Caenorhabditis elegans: one gene and its partner. The protein of the gene in region 2 purifies or fractionates together with the protein of the main gene of each other region. This does not show direct contact. Each region holds a gene or a part of one and is shown on either strand. Other genes may lie near its edges. The genes, in order: F17A2.13 and sorf-2.

Region 1 (9,486 bases), on a different chromosome or scaffold from region 2:
AGTATATAGAATAAAATAATAAAGTAAGTAATTAGTACAAAAATCTAATACTCCCTTTTTTATATTAGTTGTCTCTGACATAATTTTCAGTAACAATCTTTATTTTCAAACATTCTACAAATAAACTCTATAAGCACTTAATTTTCATATTTATTTGCTCATATTAGAAACAGGGCTTTTAAGATAGGACAATCTATTTTGTCATAACAAAAATGGAACAGAAATATCTGTCTAAAACTGACAATTTTCATTATTATTTCCGCATTGAATCAATTCTATGCGTAAATAGAGTTTCATAAATTGTGTTGCTAAGGGCAAGCAACATCTATAATTAGAAAACTTTTTTCGCAGACATGTTGCTCTCAGAAGAGCAAGGATTACTTGACAAGCGATGTGACTGGTAGCACTTTTGATTCTTTCTCAATTCTCATCCAAATTTTTAGTCGTCTTCTATAAGGCGTCACAAAATACAAAGTCAGCATTGGATCAAAAAAAGCTGGCAAGCAAGGGACCACTGTCATAAAATATTGTTGAAATAGTATTTCTGTATCTGAAACCGAACATTTTGAAGTTTTCATGGAATGATTTAATTACGAGTTAAAATGCAATAGAAGTAGAGACCAAATACTGGCACATAAAATATGAGCGGAAGAAATGCTTGAATTGTAAGTCCCTGAAAAATTTTAGGTGATTTTCAATGCCATCATTCCTCTATTAATCTTGCAATTTTGGAACTTTTAAGATAACTACGTGGACACAAAAAGTGTAAGCACACAAATAACGAAACTGTTAAGAAAAAATATTTAACTGTCATTTCTGGGCGCACCTACTTTCACAAAAACTTGAATTTGAGACTTTTTCCATTTCGAATGTTGATAAAACTGTGAATTGATACGTCGTAAAATTTTCCTGAAAGAGCCTATTTTCGATTGAAAATACTGAACTACTCACTCTCGAAAAAAGAAGCTAATGAACGGAGAGGCTACTACAGATCCAGAAATTAACAGAAAATTTATTAGACTTGGTACTGTTTTCAGGCTAAGCGCTCCAACGATTGAGTACTCTTCGGCGTTTGCATTGAGAAACTTGTACTGTTCTCTGATTTCATTTGGCAACGACTGATTTATCACCATTATCACTTCCATAACCTGAAAATATTAATCGTTTTTTGTTTTCAATAGAACTTCTGATTCAAACCATTGATGCTATTATTGGCATGTGAAAGAGTAAAATAATACCAGTAACTCGACTTTTTGAAAATTCAATTTGTCGAACCAATTCATATTTGAAAACGAATGTTATTAAAATAGACATGCCACTCATAAATGCGGAAGTCTGAGTAAAGATTAATTGGATGAAACTAAATTATTGAGTTCAACAAGATCTATTGGTCAAAAATTCAAACTCTTAAGATTATACGGTAAAACAAAAAAAAGAGGTATTGTTCATAATTGCACACAATTCGTCTTCGAATTTTCTTCCAGAAGATACCTAGTATTTCTCCAACAAATAAATCATGACATTGAGAACTTTTGGTTTTCATTTTGAATTTTTTACATTGTAATCTAGGTAACTGATAATATTGACAATTTTTTTAATACACTAGTTTAAGTTATGTTTTTTTGTTTTAAAAATACAAAAACATATATATATATTTCAATAGCAGTTAACTTACTCAAAATGTATTCAAAAGATTTTATTTTCCAAACATTTCAAAATTTTAATGCTTAAGATGTATAATATGTTTTTCCAAACTCACACTCAGAAAACTCACTTGTAAAACTTGATACATTGTATAACCCAGCCACGCTTCCAAATATCTTAACAGTCCGTAACTTCTCAGTTCAATAGGAATAGCAGTTGTAATCATTCGAAACTGAGATGAACAAGAAACAACGACTAGGATAATTTGGAAAAGACTTGTGTTTAACAAGAATACTTTTAACATTTTTAGATGTGTTGGGGAGTGGTAAAAAATTAAATAAATTAACATCAACTGTGTTATTGTTGAAAAAATGAAGAAAATAGGGTAGAAGATATAAAGCACATCCCGATAAATATCCGCTCCCATTCTGAAAATTATATATGATTTGAAACGCTGCATATAAATTGTTCACGAGGTTAAGTTGATATTCAGTTTGATTGAATTTCAGTAAATAAGATCAGAAAATGGAAACGTTGCTTTTAGCGGGTTACAAAATGAAAACAGGGCGTTTCGTAGCAGATGTTTTTGAAGAAATATGTTTTTTTGTCCAATTCTGAAAAGTGGCATTTCCAATAATGACGTGAAATCTTAGAATAATATTTGAACATTTAATCAGGAATTTCAACCAACTACGACAACCTGAGCAACAAAAAGATGGAAATTAAAAAATAAGTAGAAACCCGGTTTTCGTCCGCTGGAAAGCGCGGAACATTATCATTTCAAACGATTAATATTCAAAATAAATTATCAGGCACTTAATTTTTTTTTTTTCAATTTTGCAGAACCAATTTCGAGAATTTAGATTTATGAACATTTTGTGGTTAAATTGTTGCGCGAAACGTGCCTAAATTGTGTCTGAATGCTTTTTCAATTTGTTGTTGTGAATAGCCTTAAGTAGGTTCAGTGTTCAGTGGAAATTTATCAAATATCAAAGATTTTAGATGTTAGGCAATTAATATCAAAAGTCAACATAGATCACTATATATAATAGAATTCAGCTCATCCCTTTTTCTGTATTATGCCCAATAATATATTCATTATTGTTTTTATTTTGTCCACACATTTATGACAAGTTTGACTAACTATTGACAAATACTATCCAAATTTAATTACTGACTATGATTGTTTATTAAAACTTTACCATGAATTGGCAATTCAAAACATGTTTTAAAACGAAAAAAAAAAGAAAATATTGAAGGATCAAAAGGAAAACAAAAAAACAATGTGAAACAACGAGATTCAGGTAGACATTAAAACTTCAGAAATTTGACAAGAAGTAGGCGGTGGAATAGCTAAAGATTAAAAAAGACTATGTCAAAATATCCACTAACAGTTTTGACTTTGCAACTTTTTATGGTACTTGGCAGCAACGTATTCCTCGTGAATCGATAATGACTTCTCATCGACATCATCAAGAAGATCAAAAAGAGCACAGCACAGTGCATCCATTTCTTTGTTTACTCCCTTCTTGCAATTTTCATAGATTGTCTTGAGAACATTTACGCGTTCATCGTGTGGTGCAATGATCGAATTCAATGTGTCCAAGCGCATCTGTGAAACCGATGCCGCAATTGATCGGAGTGCTGAAAATTAAACAATATTAGTGATAATTAGACACTGCTCTAAACGAAATATAAATTTTGCTTGCATGTTGATAAACAGTTCCGCTTGCCATTAAACATCAGTTTCTCTAATAAAATTTATGTTCAAAATTTAGAAATGCTTACTCTCTGATTTCCACTTGAAGTATGCTTCAAACTTGTGGTGAACTTGAGATCTCGCCAATTTGCAGTAGTACAGTTCGTTTACGAAGTTGCTATTCTCAGGTTCTGGTTTTTCCGTCTTACTGAGAGACGATGAAGCGGAGCAATGAGAGCTCTCCGATGAGCATGACGACACTGACGATTCTTGTTTTCTTCTTGACATGATTCTCGTCTCACGACGAGCTGGAGATCTACTCTCCACATCGAGATTGTCTTTTTTGATGTGAGACTTGATAATCGTTAGGCCAGAAAATTGGCGGGACAAAGATCGGAGAATGGGGGTCTCGACTAGTTCCTTTGCTTCGTTCTCGTTTTCATAGAACACCTCGTCGTTTTCATTTTTAGCATTCTCCTGCTCGTCAAAATTTTCTTGAACATCTGCCTTTTCTTCTTCTTCTTCATTTTGGCTCTGTTTCAGAAAAGACTCCTTCCTGAACACAGGACCATCGCACACATCTTCTCCTTGCTCTTCTTTTTCGGTCTCATCAACAGTCTCATCGTCAGTTCCGCCACTTTCAAACTTCTGCACCAATCTGCTCACTTTTCGGAGGCTATTTAAAGTTTCATCATGAAAGGCTGACTTCTTTTTATCTTTGTTCGGGGTAAACATGATATCCTCCATCGCTTGCCTATAGATTCCAGCGTTGGAGTAGGAGAAGTCATTGCAACACGACATTGTTGTACTGAAATTTAAAAAAAATTATAGGTATTGTATAACCAGTTGAAAAATTGAGAACGTTAAAAAAATGTGGAACAAAAGAGTAAGATTGAAAAAAAAAAGTCCAAACAGTTGTTTTCGAGACGGAGAATAATTGAGAGTGTAAACAGAAGACCATTCGTTCAAATACAAAATGAAGAAAACGAGGAATTAGATATTTTTACACTTATTTATATCGATCGATATTGCTAACGCGACATTAGACTCTCATCCCACTCCTTTCCCGACTCTTCAACCCATAAATCGTCAGAGGAAAACAACATGTAGCAATGGGAACATTGACACCCTTCCAAGTTTGGCAGATAATCTTTGTTGACTGCAAAACTAATAACTAAAAACTGCAGCTTAACAGTGAAATCAGAAAAAATTGCACCATTTAATTTTGTTCTGTTGTTTCTACAGGCTTCTTCAAAAAAGTGACTGTCCACTATCTTCAGATTTAATTGAAAAAAAGCATAATTCAAATTTGGTTACTATATAACGCAACTTTGCTTCTGAGAAAAAAACAATAAAAAATGCATTAACTTGTAAGATTGAGAACACAAAAAAAAACGATTAGGCAACATTAAGAGCAAGAAAGAGGAGAACAATGGGCGAATAATCCAATATGTGGGAAACGGCATCTGTTGCAACTCATATCGTGACTGAATATCGGCTGACCTTCCCATCTCACCGCACAGTTGCGCTCATTACGCAACGAACGCTTGCACACAAAAAAGTATTCGATTGACTCGCCCAAACTGCGCACATCATTTACAACCACTTGCGTTGCGTGCACCGATACTGTCTGTCAACCACAATTTGTCTTTATTCTTGACAACGTTACGTTTTTACCCCACCTCTCGCTAATGTGTCCGTCTCATCAACATTTTATCTCCAATACGTTTCCTGTCATTTATCATTAATTCTGGTTTATTGTAGACATGAGTGAGGCGTCAAAATCGATTATGGATCTGCTGTCAGAAGTTGTCAAAATTACCGACATGACTATGGATAATGAAGCTGTCAATAAATTGTGAGTTAGATTTTTGCTTATGTGCTGCCATAAATCGAAGTTTTCAAAAAAAAAAATCAACAATCGTTATGTGATGGTTTGCGCTTGTTTTTTCTGATATTCCTATAATAAAAATTCTCAATATTGTTTCATGGGCGTGTTGATGATATAAGTATTCAAATCAAAATTATTAATAAGTTTCAAAATTTTGGTCAATGTTTATAGATGTTGATAACAAATGTTCATTCATACTTAAAATACTTTGATTAGTTTACGACTCAAGAAAAAATAATGACAAGATATGCTTTTAAGCAAAGTTTCGTAAAACATCAAATGTTTAATTTTTTTGATCAGCTTTTGTAGGCAATAGCCTGTCTCTAATTTCTTTATTTGAACAGTACCGCTCCTTAAAACATTGCTCTAGTTCAACTATCATCACAAACTTCTTGAAAACTATTTTTTGGAAAAACTTTCTTAAGCAAACTCTCCGCTGGAGTGCTTATGTTTTTCTTTCAACTTCAGTATTTATCATAATATTGTTTTGGTAACTATACATTTATGGAGAAGTTGCGATAAGATGAAAACCAACACTAGAGATTACTATCAAGATACAAAAAAGAAAAGAGGATATTCACTTCCTCCTGAAAATAAAAAATAAAAAATTGTCAAAAGTATTTATGAATTTTTCAGAAAACCACAAATCAAGATCAATCCATTCTACCGAGCCGTACAAGATGTTCTAGTTGAGCAGAAGTCCAAAATCGACCTATCGACAAAGATGATGAAGGATCTTGAAGCACAAGAGAATGATGAACGGCTGGATACCATGCTCAAAGCAGAAGGAGTTGCTGGACCCGATGATAGTTTGTTGCGTATTCAGGAAGCTGCTGGAACTGACCAATACGAGTATCGTCAACAACTTTTGAAAGTGAGACGAGAGCTTGAAAATGAGACAAAAGCGTTTGACAAGGTAAGATCGTCTCATATATCACCAACCAATATACAAATTTCAGCACTGCAAAAAGTGGTGTGAGTACGTTGAAGATGTTCTCCAGCAACAAGGAGAATTCCGTCCAATCACCCAACAGGTAAGCCATAAATCTACCGGTGAAAAGATTAAACCAATTTTTCAGTCAACCGAAAAGTTTATGAACAAGATGTCCGGTAAATTTAACAAGGTCTGTTTTGTACTAAAACAGACTGCCTGCGAAGAAGTTATCCAACTGAAAAAGCGTTATCTGGATGCTCGTCGAAAGAGAAGAAATTTCTCGAAAACTTCCACCGAGATTCTCAACGAGTACTTCCTAGCAAACATCAATCATCCATACCCGTCGGAAGAGGTCAAACAGGCCTTAGCTATGCAATGTAACATTAGTGTTGCTCAGGTAAAATTGAAAATACAAAATTACATACTAAAAAATATGCATAAAAAACTTTTGAAGAATATTACGATTTGCATGAAGATAATATTGATAAGGCCTAAATTAAAAGCTCGCTAAAATGCGCCATCATCACCATTTGCGTCAGCTGTCTCCTATTAATATTTGCGCGGGAGTTTTGAATAGGAAATGTTGAAACGGTGTTCAGAATTAACGAATGCTTTAGTAGTTTCTAGAAAATGGGAAGTAAGGTTTTCTAAAAGAAACGCAAAACTAGTTCATTATTCTTTGGAATATAATTGTGGTTACATAAAATAATCGCTGTTCTATAGACACGAACCTAAAAATTATGCAACTTTTTTAAAAACTATTTTTGTCACTGTCAATATTGTCAGTGTTTCTTAACACTCTATCACTCTATTTGAAAAAATTTAGTCCCAGATATCTGCATACAATCTTACAGTAGTTTACAGTTTATTTTCAGGTATCAAACTGGTTTGGAAATAAGCGAATTCGCTACAAGAAAACAATGGCTAAGAATGAGGATGAAAGAAGAGAAAACAGAAAACCAGAAGATCGCCCTCCGCCTGGAGCTCCTGGAGCTCCGTATAGTCTGGTACCCAACGCGTTTGCAGGAATGATGAACCCATATCAGATGATGTTACCTGGTCATCAATTTCCCATCGGTGTTGCCCCTTTCAATTTTTCCATGTACAATCCTGAGATGGTAAGTTTTCATTTCAAATACTGTGAACTTGCAAAAATAGAGCAATATATGTAGTTTGTTTCAAAACCCGGATTTTTGTTAAACTTGAAAAAAAACTCGTTCTTGGATACATCAAATTCTGGAAACGATGTACTCCAAGTTGCGAGCAGCTGGAAAAGTTGAGAAACTAGGTTTTTTCTTACTGCCAGATTTTGAAATCATGCATATTCCGAAAAAAACAGTTTTCTCATTTTCAGATGGCCCAATATCAACAGTCTCTACAAAACCCAAATCAAACTCGATGACAAACTTTAATAATGCTGGTACTGAGTACTCATTCATACATTTGCCATGATGTTATAAAGTAATAAATTCATTGAAATACATCCTGTGTTCCATAAGATGTATTACTTTTTTAAGAAATTTATTTGATACTGACCAATGTTTTTGGCTGCAAAATGCAACATCACAATTTTTAGACAAGGGCTTACAATATAAATGAGGTAACAAGAACAACATAACTATTCACAGAACAGGAGATTTTCCTGAAGCGTTTTTAAAAATGTTGAGAAAGTGGTGATATTGAAAAAAAAGTTGAAATTAATTAAGTTTTTAAGAACTCAGGCCAGTTATATCCATAACAAGTAGTAGTATGAAATTTTGGTGGAACTGCGAAAATAACATGCTGAAATTGGAAACTAATGTAAAATTATATTATCTAGCGGTTAGAAACAAAATGGTGAAATGAAAATCTATGACAACCATGAAGTGGAGAGGTATTGAAAATGATCCGAAGTATAGGGAATTGATTTGGTCTGATATGATCCTATTTAAACATTTCCACATTTTGCTGAATACTTTGATATTTTGATTACTGCCTACGTGGTCCATTGGGCACAAGAACTCCGGGAGGAACATCAACTGTTCGCTCGGTCCAAAAACGATCTTCGGAATATTCGATCATCGCGTAACTGAACGCTGGTGGGTACAAATGGGCTTTTGGATGCTTCTCTGGGCAGTTTCGGGTGAGCTCAAGAACTTCTTCTATTATGGGAGGTTCGGTTTTGTAGTCCCGTGGAACATTTCTGACGAAAGTTCGGTCATCATTGTTTAATACTCTTGATTTTTTAACCAACAAAAATCGATTATCAAATTCAGTTAGAGTCCCTCCATCTTCATAGAAATGATTTCTCCTAGCGATATTTCTGGCGTAATTGACAAACTGTGCATCACGAGACATTGTTGCTTCATCTTCTCCAAGACCTAAGGTACTCGACAAAATCACTTCTCCAAATAAAATATCTATTGGCTTGTTCTTGTTTATGATGTAGATTTGGTATTGGTAATCAACGTGACGAACAGTCTGGACTGCAATGATTTTTTGCAGGCTTCCTTTATACATCACAAAACGGTCAGTGTCACTTCCTTTAACATGTAGTACGGTGTAAGGCATACCCGTCACGTCTATCACATTTCCATTATCATTTTCTACTGTTTCCGTTTGAGGTTTGTCCATTTTTTTATGCTGCTCAACTTCAATTGGATTTCCATCAGTTATTTTCTTCTTCTCCAGACTATCCAAAACCGCTTGAACCTCCTCATCGCATTCACCATCTGCAATTATTGAAAAAATCTGATTGGCTTCTGAACCTTAAAACGCTATTCTTTTGCTCAGTGCACCAAAACCCCTAATCTTATGACTGTAGTAAAACTCTAAATATTTCGAACTTTCTGGGAGGTGGAAAGTCTTAATAAACTCGATTAAAAAAAAAATATTTGATCTACTCTCTTGTTTCTTATTTATTCAAACTTACCACTATCTACATCTTCCTCTTCGCTTGTTTCGGAATCATCCAATGATTCATCGCTGCTACACTCATCATCCTCCACTTTCTGCTGAGCTCTCAAGAATCGCGGCTAAAAACTTATCCATTTTTCACAGAACAAACTTTTCAATAACCTACACTTTTCCGAATAACTCTGCTGGACTCTCCAATTTTGGCACTGGCGTAGTTCTTTGCCATAGGACTGTGGAAATACTCATAGTTTGATGAACCATTTTGAACGTCCTTCTGGTACTCCATCATTTTTTGTGGAAAGTTGAATTTAAATGGCTCATGCTTTGAACGCTTTGAAGGATTATTTGAGGCTATTGGAACACTGTTTTCAATCGGTCCAAAATGTAGACCGGACGGAGAATCGGTAGGTTTGATCAAATGAT
Region 2 (9,486 bases):
AAACTTACTCAACGCCACAGACCGCCGCAGACACCCTAGCACACCAGACAGCGCTCAACGATCCCGAATCACAGAAGCTGAGGCCTCCCAAGCTATTCACAGAATTTACAGGACTTGACGCGGAAAGCGAGAAAAGTCGATTGCCGGATGACATTCCACCTAGTGAGTACGCTGTGAATGCGGACGGTGGAGAATGAGCAATGGAAGCTGGTGGAGATGAGGATGAGGATGAGTTGGATACGAATGGAATCAGGAATGCAGGATCATCACAGAAAGAGGAGAGGAATGGAACACCCCATTCTTTGGCAAACTTGTCAACGACATCTTCAACCATCCATAGGGGAACTTCGAAGAGGGTCTGAACAGAATCTTTGAAAACAAAACACGGTTGGCGACTTGTAGTTCGTAATTTTACTCAGAATTTTTAGCGACTACATCTTTATTAACCTAGAGGCCTATAGGAGGTATACCTCTACCGGTGCTATTCAGTAGGCTGTTTGGATAGTACGATAGGGGTACTGTAGGGTCAATTTGGAAATATTAATCGTTTCAACAGACATGTTAGCTAGCTTTAGCTTTAGGATTAACTAATCATGAAAGATTCATTTTGTGTAAAAAAATTGATTACATTTTCCGAAGGTCTTTTCCTGAGATTGATCCTCAGCTCTTCGTCGGTTTCATAGATCTCACTGAATGTGGAGAACATAAGTTTGAAGGGTTGATTAGCGTAGATCCGCGTGTTCTCGGTTCCGATCTTCTGGGTTATCGAATGAAGAAGTTGGCAGACCTAAAATATAGTTTGGTTTATAATTTCATATACATTCCATATTAGCATTGTCACCCCGTATCTCGATTGTCTTTGGTTTTATCAACCATAAAAACAACTGTTGGCTACAAAAATTTGGATGGTTGTTTTTGCAGTTGGGAATTTACCAACATTTTCAAAATGAACCGAGATATGAACTTGCAAAGTAGAGGAGGTATTGTAGTTAACTGTAAGTAATGACCTTGCAAATAATGATAATTCGAACTCTCATGGAAGAAAATTGAAAACTAGCGTCCAGCAGAATAGTGAGTACTCGATAGATCACTTTCTGGATGATGAACTCCTCAAGATAGTTCATTAGCTGATGATCTGACATGGATCGGATGGAGAGCTCAACAATCCGGAAAACAGACACCAGTCCCGGCTCCAGCTGTACAGACGATCGTTTGTGGAACTGCTCAATCAAGTCAACACAAAACGGGAGAAATTGGACGGTGATGAATGTCACACTGTAGGTTAGGACAATCTCGGAGAGGAGGGATTCGATGCGAGAGCATGTTTCGTCACCTTGTAGAACTACGTTGAATACAGCCTGAAAATATTATTTGATTTTAAGTTTATAGATATATCCTCTGGTCGTAAAAGTTAAAATCCTAAAAAACAAATAATCTTTCAACCCCTATTAGAGCTGCAAGCTAATTAACTAGAGCTGCAAGATTGGGGATTTTCGGTACTGCAGAATTTTGAAATTTTCCTACCTTTGGTTGCTGCTCCAACCCAACCATCTCAAATGCCTCGTAACAACTCGCCATGATCCTCAAAACATTCGACGAGATGAACTTTGCGCAGATCACCGGACCATATCGTTTCGCGAGCCACATGATGCTTTCCTTTGCCACCACTGATCTATCACAATTCATGGATGCGCACGCTTCAACGATCGGTGGAAGGAAAAGGTCGAGGAAGGTGTGAGTTCCGTAGCAAATTGATACGTGCATCAGAAAACGACGATCAAGAAGCTTTACTGAAGTTTCACATTGAATCAGCTCGATCATCGGATTGATCAGATCTTCCAGTGCGGATTGGCTTAAGCTTCTCGTGATCACTGGCATAAGTCGATGTACGGATTGAATGCATGCTTCTTCGTCTTCGAGTAGCTGCTGGAATGCCGCCACTACACATTGTTCCATGTGGTCGCAAAGTCTAATTGATTTCTTTAGACTTTCCACTTCTTTCAGAATGATTAACTGGGATCGTTTGGCTGGAAATTTTATATTTAGCTGAAAATTCAATGAACTAAATTACAGAAAGGCGGAATCACGTCCAACTTTCTCAGGATATGCAGGGATACACATTTGCCAAACTCTTCAGAAAAGTTTAAGATCTTAGTCGGAATGTTGAGTCGAACAGAAACGAAAAACGAGAATTCATCACAATCTGGAAAGTCTTGCTCTGTATTGAACAGAAAATCAAAGAGTCTCCGATAGTTTGCAGGAATCCGATAGGAATAGAGTTGGATGCATCGTCGAATGTGATCAGGATCATCAAATCGTCCTGCCAGATGCGGTGCCAACACTATCTGCGCCATCACTTCCATTGCTGATACCATTGATGAGAAATATGTATTGTGGCGGAGACGCTAGAATATATTATTCCAAATTTTATAGATTAGAATGGGAAAGTACCCGAACTTTCTTGATCTTTTGGTAGATCTGATAGTGGCTATCCTCATCTGGTTCAACTTCGGGTTCCTTGCGATGTTCAGAAGTCATACCAAATCCGAAGGACTCCATTTTCAAATGGTAATTGTCGAGTTTCGGATCCTAAAATAGAATTACAAATAATTTGAGTTTGTCAAACGATGAACGCATCGCAAGTTTCAGCTTTCAAAAATAGATGCCAAGTCGGGTCAGATCTTCAGATTGTTCCAAATGCAACAATCAGATGGAAACCCAGGCTGTTGATCTAGGATTTCTGAACGCAAGAGATGATCGTGATCCATGACCCGAACGGATCGGATCATGTATACTTGGATCTTACATTATCAAGGATCCGACTTTTACACCACTTGTATCTAGAAACGAAGTAGACATTCCGAACTTCAACAAGACACCGGAGAGTCTGAAGTTCAGAAGCTGATCGGGATTTTCAGAGCTCCAAAAGTATAGATACCGGTTGATAAGATTTATAATCTAACGCTAGGTAACATACATAATTCAACGGCATCCTTATCGGATGAGGTCTATTGAACAGTTGAACCATTCCCGTTGTCCGAAGCCCCCGTCGATTCTTTTCCACAAAGCATAGATGAAGATTCAGCGCGTTCTTGCTATTGTCGATGGCGAGCTGGAATGCAATTTTTCTCATTTTTCGGTGGTATCGGTGGTATTTTTCTCATTATTTTTTTTGTTTTTCGGTGGTATTTTTCTCATTTTTCGGTGGTTACATTAAATCCGAAAACGAGGTCGATCCATCTGTGGAGGTTCATGGAAACTTCCTCGTGTTCCAGCATTTTCCGGTGCCATTCAATGAATTCCTGTGGGGAAGACACGAATTCGGGAAATCGGAGGTCAGCCATATCCGGGTGGCAAGAATCTAAAAGTAGGTGTTTGAAAACTAACGTGATGCTGATACGCTCAATTGAACTTTTTTTCAATAAAGCGTGATTGGGTAGGTGGTCTTACTGAAAATCGACGGATCATCATAAAACTCTGGAATACACTCGTCAGGAGTCCACTGGTACATTCTGCTCATCGTCGATGGGTACTCTTCGGGTACCCACTTCCGTCGTACATGCCGGCATAGGTTATCCTTAGGCTCCACACGGGCTCTGTAGACCATGTAACCAATGTCTGAGAGCAGCTCGGGAACGTGATGCGATGGCTCACGGGAGTACATTTCTCTAAAATGGTTCAGTTTTTCAAAGTTTTATTTCTACCAAACTATGGGTTTTCTAAGGGACCGGGGCTTCGAGTTGGAAAATTTTGGTATATGGTAAGTTTAGTAAGTTTTATGAATGAAACTTCAAAAAAAATTAATTTGCGACGATGCTCCAGTATCACTACAAATATATTCTGATATTACTAATATACAGTAATATCGGCATGGTCGTGTAAAATATTGGTAGCCGAGTTTACACTTTTTGAAACTATGATTTCCAAAAATTTGTGTACCTTAATTGATCATCTCCCTTGCACAGCCGATATTTCGTTCGATTTAATTGCCGAAACCCGCCATTTTCCTCGGAAAAATCACACACCCACGGAAAAATCGGATGATTATGTACTTCTCCACGAACTCGTCCAGTGATATCATTCAAATATGTCAGATACTGATAGTTTTCCCATTTTCTATTCGCCCAATTCGACGTTGCCTCATCAAGAGGTATCCTGGGGGCTCGCGGAGCTCGAAACTGCTCAAATATTGGAGCAAGAACATCATACTGAAGCCAGAAACTTGGAAGACAGCGGAAATGACGGGTTTTGAATTCAGCTGTGATCTTTCTCGAGAATAATTGGGAATATAGGTCGAGTAGATTTTTAGTGAGGAAATGGATTGTCTGAAGGCTTCCATCAGGAATATTACTGTACGAGTGTCGGAGTACAGTTTGAAAATCGATTCCTTCTTTCGTGTGACCATAAATCAAAATTACATTATCTGCCTCTGTATGAGCAATTGCTAGAATTGAAGTCATATTTGGAAGAATTTGAAGACGTTGAAAATTTATTGTCTTATGAGGTGCTTTTGAGCAGTTTATATGAGAAATTGAAAGCTTCTCTGCGATATTTGCCCATTTCGTGATCCAATCCAATTTTGTGCTTTTTGCCGGTGAGCACACTCCATTTTTGACTCGTTGGTGCTCTTCATAGTCCATTAGAGGGTCGAATGAGGTGTTGAGTCTGCAAAAATTTGAATAAGCTTTATAATAATTAGTTCAGTGGAGCGGGATCGCACATGGTTCAGTTTTCAAATTTCTTGGTCTCGACAATGAAAAAAATAGAGCGCCATGGCGCGTCTTTAAAGATTTCTGTAGTCTCAAATTCTCGTTGTTGCTTAATTTTCATCGATTTTTAACTTATAGTATTTTTTCCAATTTTCAAAAATGTATATATTTTTATTCAAGAAAAAATATCATGAAAATTTAAAAACTATTTATGAAAAATCGACGCAAAATCGCAACGAGAATTTGAAGCTACAGTACTCTTCAAAGGTTCATACAATTTTAATAACTATTTGTCGTGTCGAGGCCAGTTACAGTATTATCGGAGCAAAAGTTGCAGAATTTGGCATCTGGGTAATATAAATTTGCTCACAATTTTTCGAATTCTTTCTCGAGTGCCACAGCATCTGTGGATTCGTGAATCCAGGCCATTTTTGCCTCAAGTATGACATTTTCCAATTTCAGTTCATCATGTGGAGCCCATTGGGTGAGAATTTCTGATAGAGCATTTAGTTTTGACTCGTTCCATTCGAACTCTTCCTCAGGCATATATGGGTCTGAAAATCGATAAAATCATGATTATTAAATTTTTATAGTTCCCTAAAACGTGGCGGGACCCAACAGGAATTGATCACGCGCTTTTAAGATTAAAGTAATATGAACTCGACAAATTCTGAATTATTCAATGGAGAAATATTCAAAAACGTTGCAATTATCGATCTTTCCGAAGGCGGAGGTCAATTTTGAATTTTCTGGTAACCCAAAATCAAAAATAAACATTTCGACGGGAACGAGATGATGATTGTTGTATCGATTTTCAGGGCAAACATAAATAAACAAAACTTTTTTATTTATACTTATTTTTAAAGAGAAAAACAACAAAAAGAGAGTCAACAAATAATTCTTACTAAATCCTAAAAAATCGATAAAAATCGAATAAAAAGACATTAAAGTTCCAGGCGAATGGATGTTGGCAGGAAAATGTCCAATTTCTTCTGAGTTCCACGAATTGTGATTTGTCTATCCGTGAGTTCAGCATCTTTTGGTGTAGCGTTACTTGAGATGTAGAGGCGATGAATGTAGGACTGAAATTGGTAAAAATGAGATTAAGAATTGTTTTTTTTTTCAGAAAACTTTTTATAGAAAGTTCAATATATTTATCAGCAATCAGTTAAATTTTTAAAGATTCAGTTTTTGGCTAGACAAGAAAAGATTATACAATACAAAAAAATGCTCAAAATTTTTTAAATTAAGAATCGATATAATCATGTTCAAAACTTGATATTTAAACCATTTATTTTCACGAAAATTGTATATTTTCACTTTCGAGAAACTTAACAATTTAATTATTTAAGTTTAAAAATAAAATTTTTTGTGTCAATGACACTGGGTTTTAAAAATTTAACTGATTCAGAAAAATCTTAAAAATAAAGGAGGCATTAAAAAATGTAATAGATTTTTAATTTTTTTTGTAACTTTTTTTCTGCAAAAAACAGTGAAATTTCTAAATCAAATTTTCACTGAGATTTTAAATTGGAAGTTTTTTCTATACTTTAAGAATTAAATTGTTATGCTTCTCGAAAGTAAAAATATAGAATTTTATTGAATATCAGTTTTGCTCATTTTTCTCAAAATTAATGTTTTTCAGAAGAAAAAAATAATAAATTAAATTTCAAAACGCTGTTCTATTTTTTTAAAGAATTTTAAACACTAACCGGTAGAGCAGAAATCTTAAAAGCAACAGAATTTGCCAAGAAATCAGTTCCATAAAACTTTTCATCAGTACTTCTTCCAACAATTCCTTCAGAACATCGTTTAAATCCATCAGAAATTACTCCAAATCGTCCAATATCCGTACCGCCCATTCTGAATCGAATCTGTGAATAATCACTCATTTGTTCATTTTCGATAAGAAATTCAGCTCCGTGTGTGTCCAGTTCATGTTTTTCTCCGCATTTTTCGTTGATTATTCCCGTATAATCTTTTTGCCCTGAAAATTGAGAAATTTTGATTCAAAACTCGAAACTCGAGCAATAATTTAACTCTTGGTACCAGAAAATTAGTAATTCGAATTTTTTCAAATTGAATGCTTGGGGTTGTTTTTTTTTCGCAAACATTTAAATTTTAACATTTGAAAACTTTTTTTTAAAAAATCTAAATGTATTTCCCAATTCTGTAGAAAATTTGGGAGAGATTTCAATTTCAAATATCAATTCTCTTAATAAGAAAAAAATGTTAAATATATTTTTCTCTAAAATTCAATTTCCAATGAATTTTCAGAAATTAAAGGTGGAGTAGCGCCAGTGGGGAAATAGTTTTTAAACATGCCTATGGTACCACAATGACCGAATATCATGATAAAAAAATTCAAAAAAATTTTCTAAATTTTATATGATTCTTTGAAAATTGAAAAATCTCAGTTTTTGCCTAATTTCTATTTGAATTACCGCCAATTGGATTTGTTCGATGGAGCGCGCATGCACGTTTTTAAATTTATTTATTTTATTTTTTGTTATTTTCCACCGATTTTTAATGTTTTCGGTGTATTTTTGGTCGAATTTTAGAGAAAAAATCAAAATAATTGCAAATTTTCGATTAAAAAGCACGCTTATAGGCGTAAAAATGTAAAAGTAACTTTTTTCAACGATTTCAAACCTGAATTAATTAATTTCACTGATTTACATTTTTACGCCTGTAAGCGTGCTTTTTAATCGAAAATTTGCATTTATTTTGATTTTTTCTCTAAAATTCGACCAAAAATACACCGAAAACATTAAAAATCGGTGGAAAATAACAAAAAATAAAATAAATAAATTTAAAAACGTGCAAGCGCGCTCCATCGAACAAATCCAATTGGCGGTAATTCAAATAGAAATTAGGCAAAAACTGAGATTTTTCAATTTTCAAAAAATCATATAAAATTTAGAAAATTTTTTTGAATTTTTTATCATGATATTCGGTCCTTGTGGTATCATAGGCATGTTTTAAAGCAATTTCCCCACTGGCGCTACTCCACCTTTAAGCAAAAATTGAGCGAAAATTGTTCTTTTAAATTAAAATTTAAAATTTTTTGTCATTACAAAAATTCTCAAATTCGAAATTTTCCCGAATTAAAAAATTTGAAATTTTTACAAAAAAAATCCAATTTTTTTTGTTGCAAATTCATTGAAATTTCCCATACCATCATTATTTTTATATTTTGGTGTTCCAGTAAGTACATGCCACCATCTCCATTGTGGTGCCTCAATAATTGGTTTAGGCCTGCATTTCTCACATCCAGCACACGTTTCCTCGTATTCCACGTGGCATTCGATTGGGGCGGGGCCTCGTTTAAGCATTTCCCAAAAATAAGCCCACCGTCTCTTGGCCATTGAGAAATACCAGAATTTCTTGCGAGTATCTTCGATTTGTCGAAACCAGCCAGCACTGACGTCACCGAGTCCATATTCGGGAGCCAACGTGGAGCCTTCTGTTGTTAGTTCGAATGCGTAGACACTTTTCTTTTGATCTTCAATAACAGCCATTGCAGTTTCACATGCATGTCGAACATCGTCAGAGTTTTCGAATACAGATGGAAGCATTCGTTTGAGCCAAAGATTATCATAACCTCCAGGGTAAAAACCGACGGGTAGTTGAGCTTTTTCTCTGAAAAATGGAACTTTTTGTCCCCAAAAAATTTCCGTTTTCCGTCATTTTGCTCTTACTCTTACAATTCTGAAAAAAATTATAATTCAAAACCTTTCTTTTTCGCAGCCACGTACTTCAAATTTTGAATTCAGTAGTTGAATAAAAACAGTGCCTTCGGAGGAAACCAGATTGAGAAAAACCTCAGAATTTTTAAATAAATTTCCAGATTAATTTTTTTCGATTTTTGCGCACAATTTGTTATGCTTTCAAGTTTCCCATAAAAACACACATTATCGATAGCGCCTACATAGTTTTGACCAGAATTTTCAGAATTTCTATCAATTTGTCTCCAAAAATTTGAATTTTGTGTCTTGATTCGTGTTAAACAACCGGAAACAATTTCAGGAAATTAAATAAATTCAATTTTAACTGCTCTACCGATTTCTAAAAATGCCAGTGACAACAGTTCCAATTGTTCCATCTCCTCCAACAACATATAGAATATCAGCTTCTTGTGTATCAACTGCTCCGGCAAGAGCTTCCAATTGAGCTTGATTATCGGCCTATAATTTTCGGGAAAATTATTAAATATTAAAATAATCAAAAATAAAAACCTTAACAACATCAACCTGAACCCCAGCAAGATGGAATAATGGAAGAGCATTTTTATTGAATTGATCAAAGCATCCACGTGAATTTCCTTCTACATTCACCAGAACAAATACTCGTTTCGGACGTGTTTCGGCTGAAAATTTGAAAACTTTTGAAATTGTTTGATGTTTTTTCCGATTTATTTTTAAAGACTTGTTAAGTTTCTGAATTTTTTATATTTATTTTTCTTTAATATCTCGTTCTTTCAAAATCAACATTTTGCAATTTAGTTTTTTGCTCTCCGAATTATTTTCATTTTCGAAAATCTTTTTTAAAGATAAATTTTATTTATTTATTTTAATTATTTCACTTTCAAATTTCAGCGAAATATTGGCAACTTTCCAAAAACGCAGAATTAATTTTTTAGAATATCTAATTTTTTTAAATTAAGAATTTGAAATTTTGTTCGGCAAAAAACTTTTTAAAATTATGTCAAAAGTGGTTTTTTCGTGCAAATGAAAAATTCAAATAACATAATATTTATTTTTTTGAAAACTTTTAA

Evidence for each region.
Region 1: the proteins of sorf-2 (region 2) and F17A2.13 fractionate together in Caenorhabditis elegans (co-fractionation; one large-scale study listed by BioGRID). This does not show direct contact.

What each region holds. Positions count from the first base shown.
Region 1 is NC_003284.9:12,316,324-12,325,809, reverse strand, and holds F17A2.13 (uncharacterized protein), read right to left. Parts: upstream 4,154-9,486; 5' UTR 4,145-4,153; coding exon 3,433-4,144; intron 3,289-3,432; coding exon 3,032-3,288; 3' UTR 2,817-3,031; downstream 1-2,816. Other genes in the region: srd-40 (Serpentine receptor class delta-40), read right to left, coding at 378-550, 595-673, 831-909, 952-1,148, 1,198-1,335, 1,775-2,071; Homeobox protein ceh-40, read left to right, coding at 5,110-5,201, 5,871-6,150, 6,194-6,268, 6,314-6,565, 7,044-7,286, 7,523-7,570; xtr-2 (MX region of TRA-2 Related), read right to left, coding at 8,137-8,879, 9,080-9,182, 9,230-9,486.
Region 2 is NC_003281.10:5,322,400-5,331,885, reverse strand, and holds the start of sorf-2 (Suppressor of organelle fusion 2), read right to left. Parts: upstream 5,264-9,486; 5' UTR 5,256-5,263; coding exon 5,080-5,255; intron 4,666-5,079; coding exon 3,940-4,665; intron 3,669-3,939; coding exon 3,451-3,668; intron 3,362-3,450; coding exon 3,213-3,361; intron 3,113-3,212; coding exon 2,978-3,112; intron 2,590-2,977; coding exon 2,452-2,589; intron 2,406-2,451; coding exon 2,072-2,405; intron 2,028-2,071; coding exon 1,525-2,027; intron 1,359-1,524; coding exon 1,008-1,358; intron 788-1,007; coding exon 629-787; intron 359-628; coding exon 9-358; intron 1-8. Other genes in the region: F52C9.3 (uncharacterized protein), read right to left, coding at 5,654-5,791, 6,422-6,696, 7,888-8,351, 8,772-8,896, 8,948-9,078. UniProt on the Caenorhabditis elegans protein: Together with sorf-1 negatively regulates the levels of phosphatidylinositol 3-phosphate (PtdIns3P) to enable the conversion of early endosomes to late endosomes.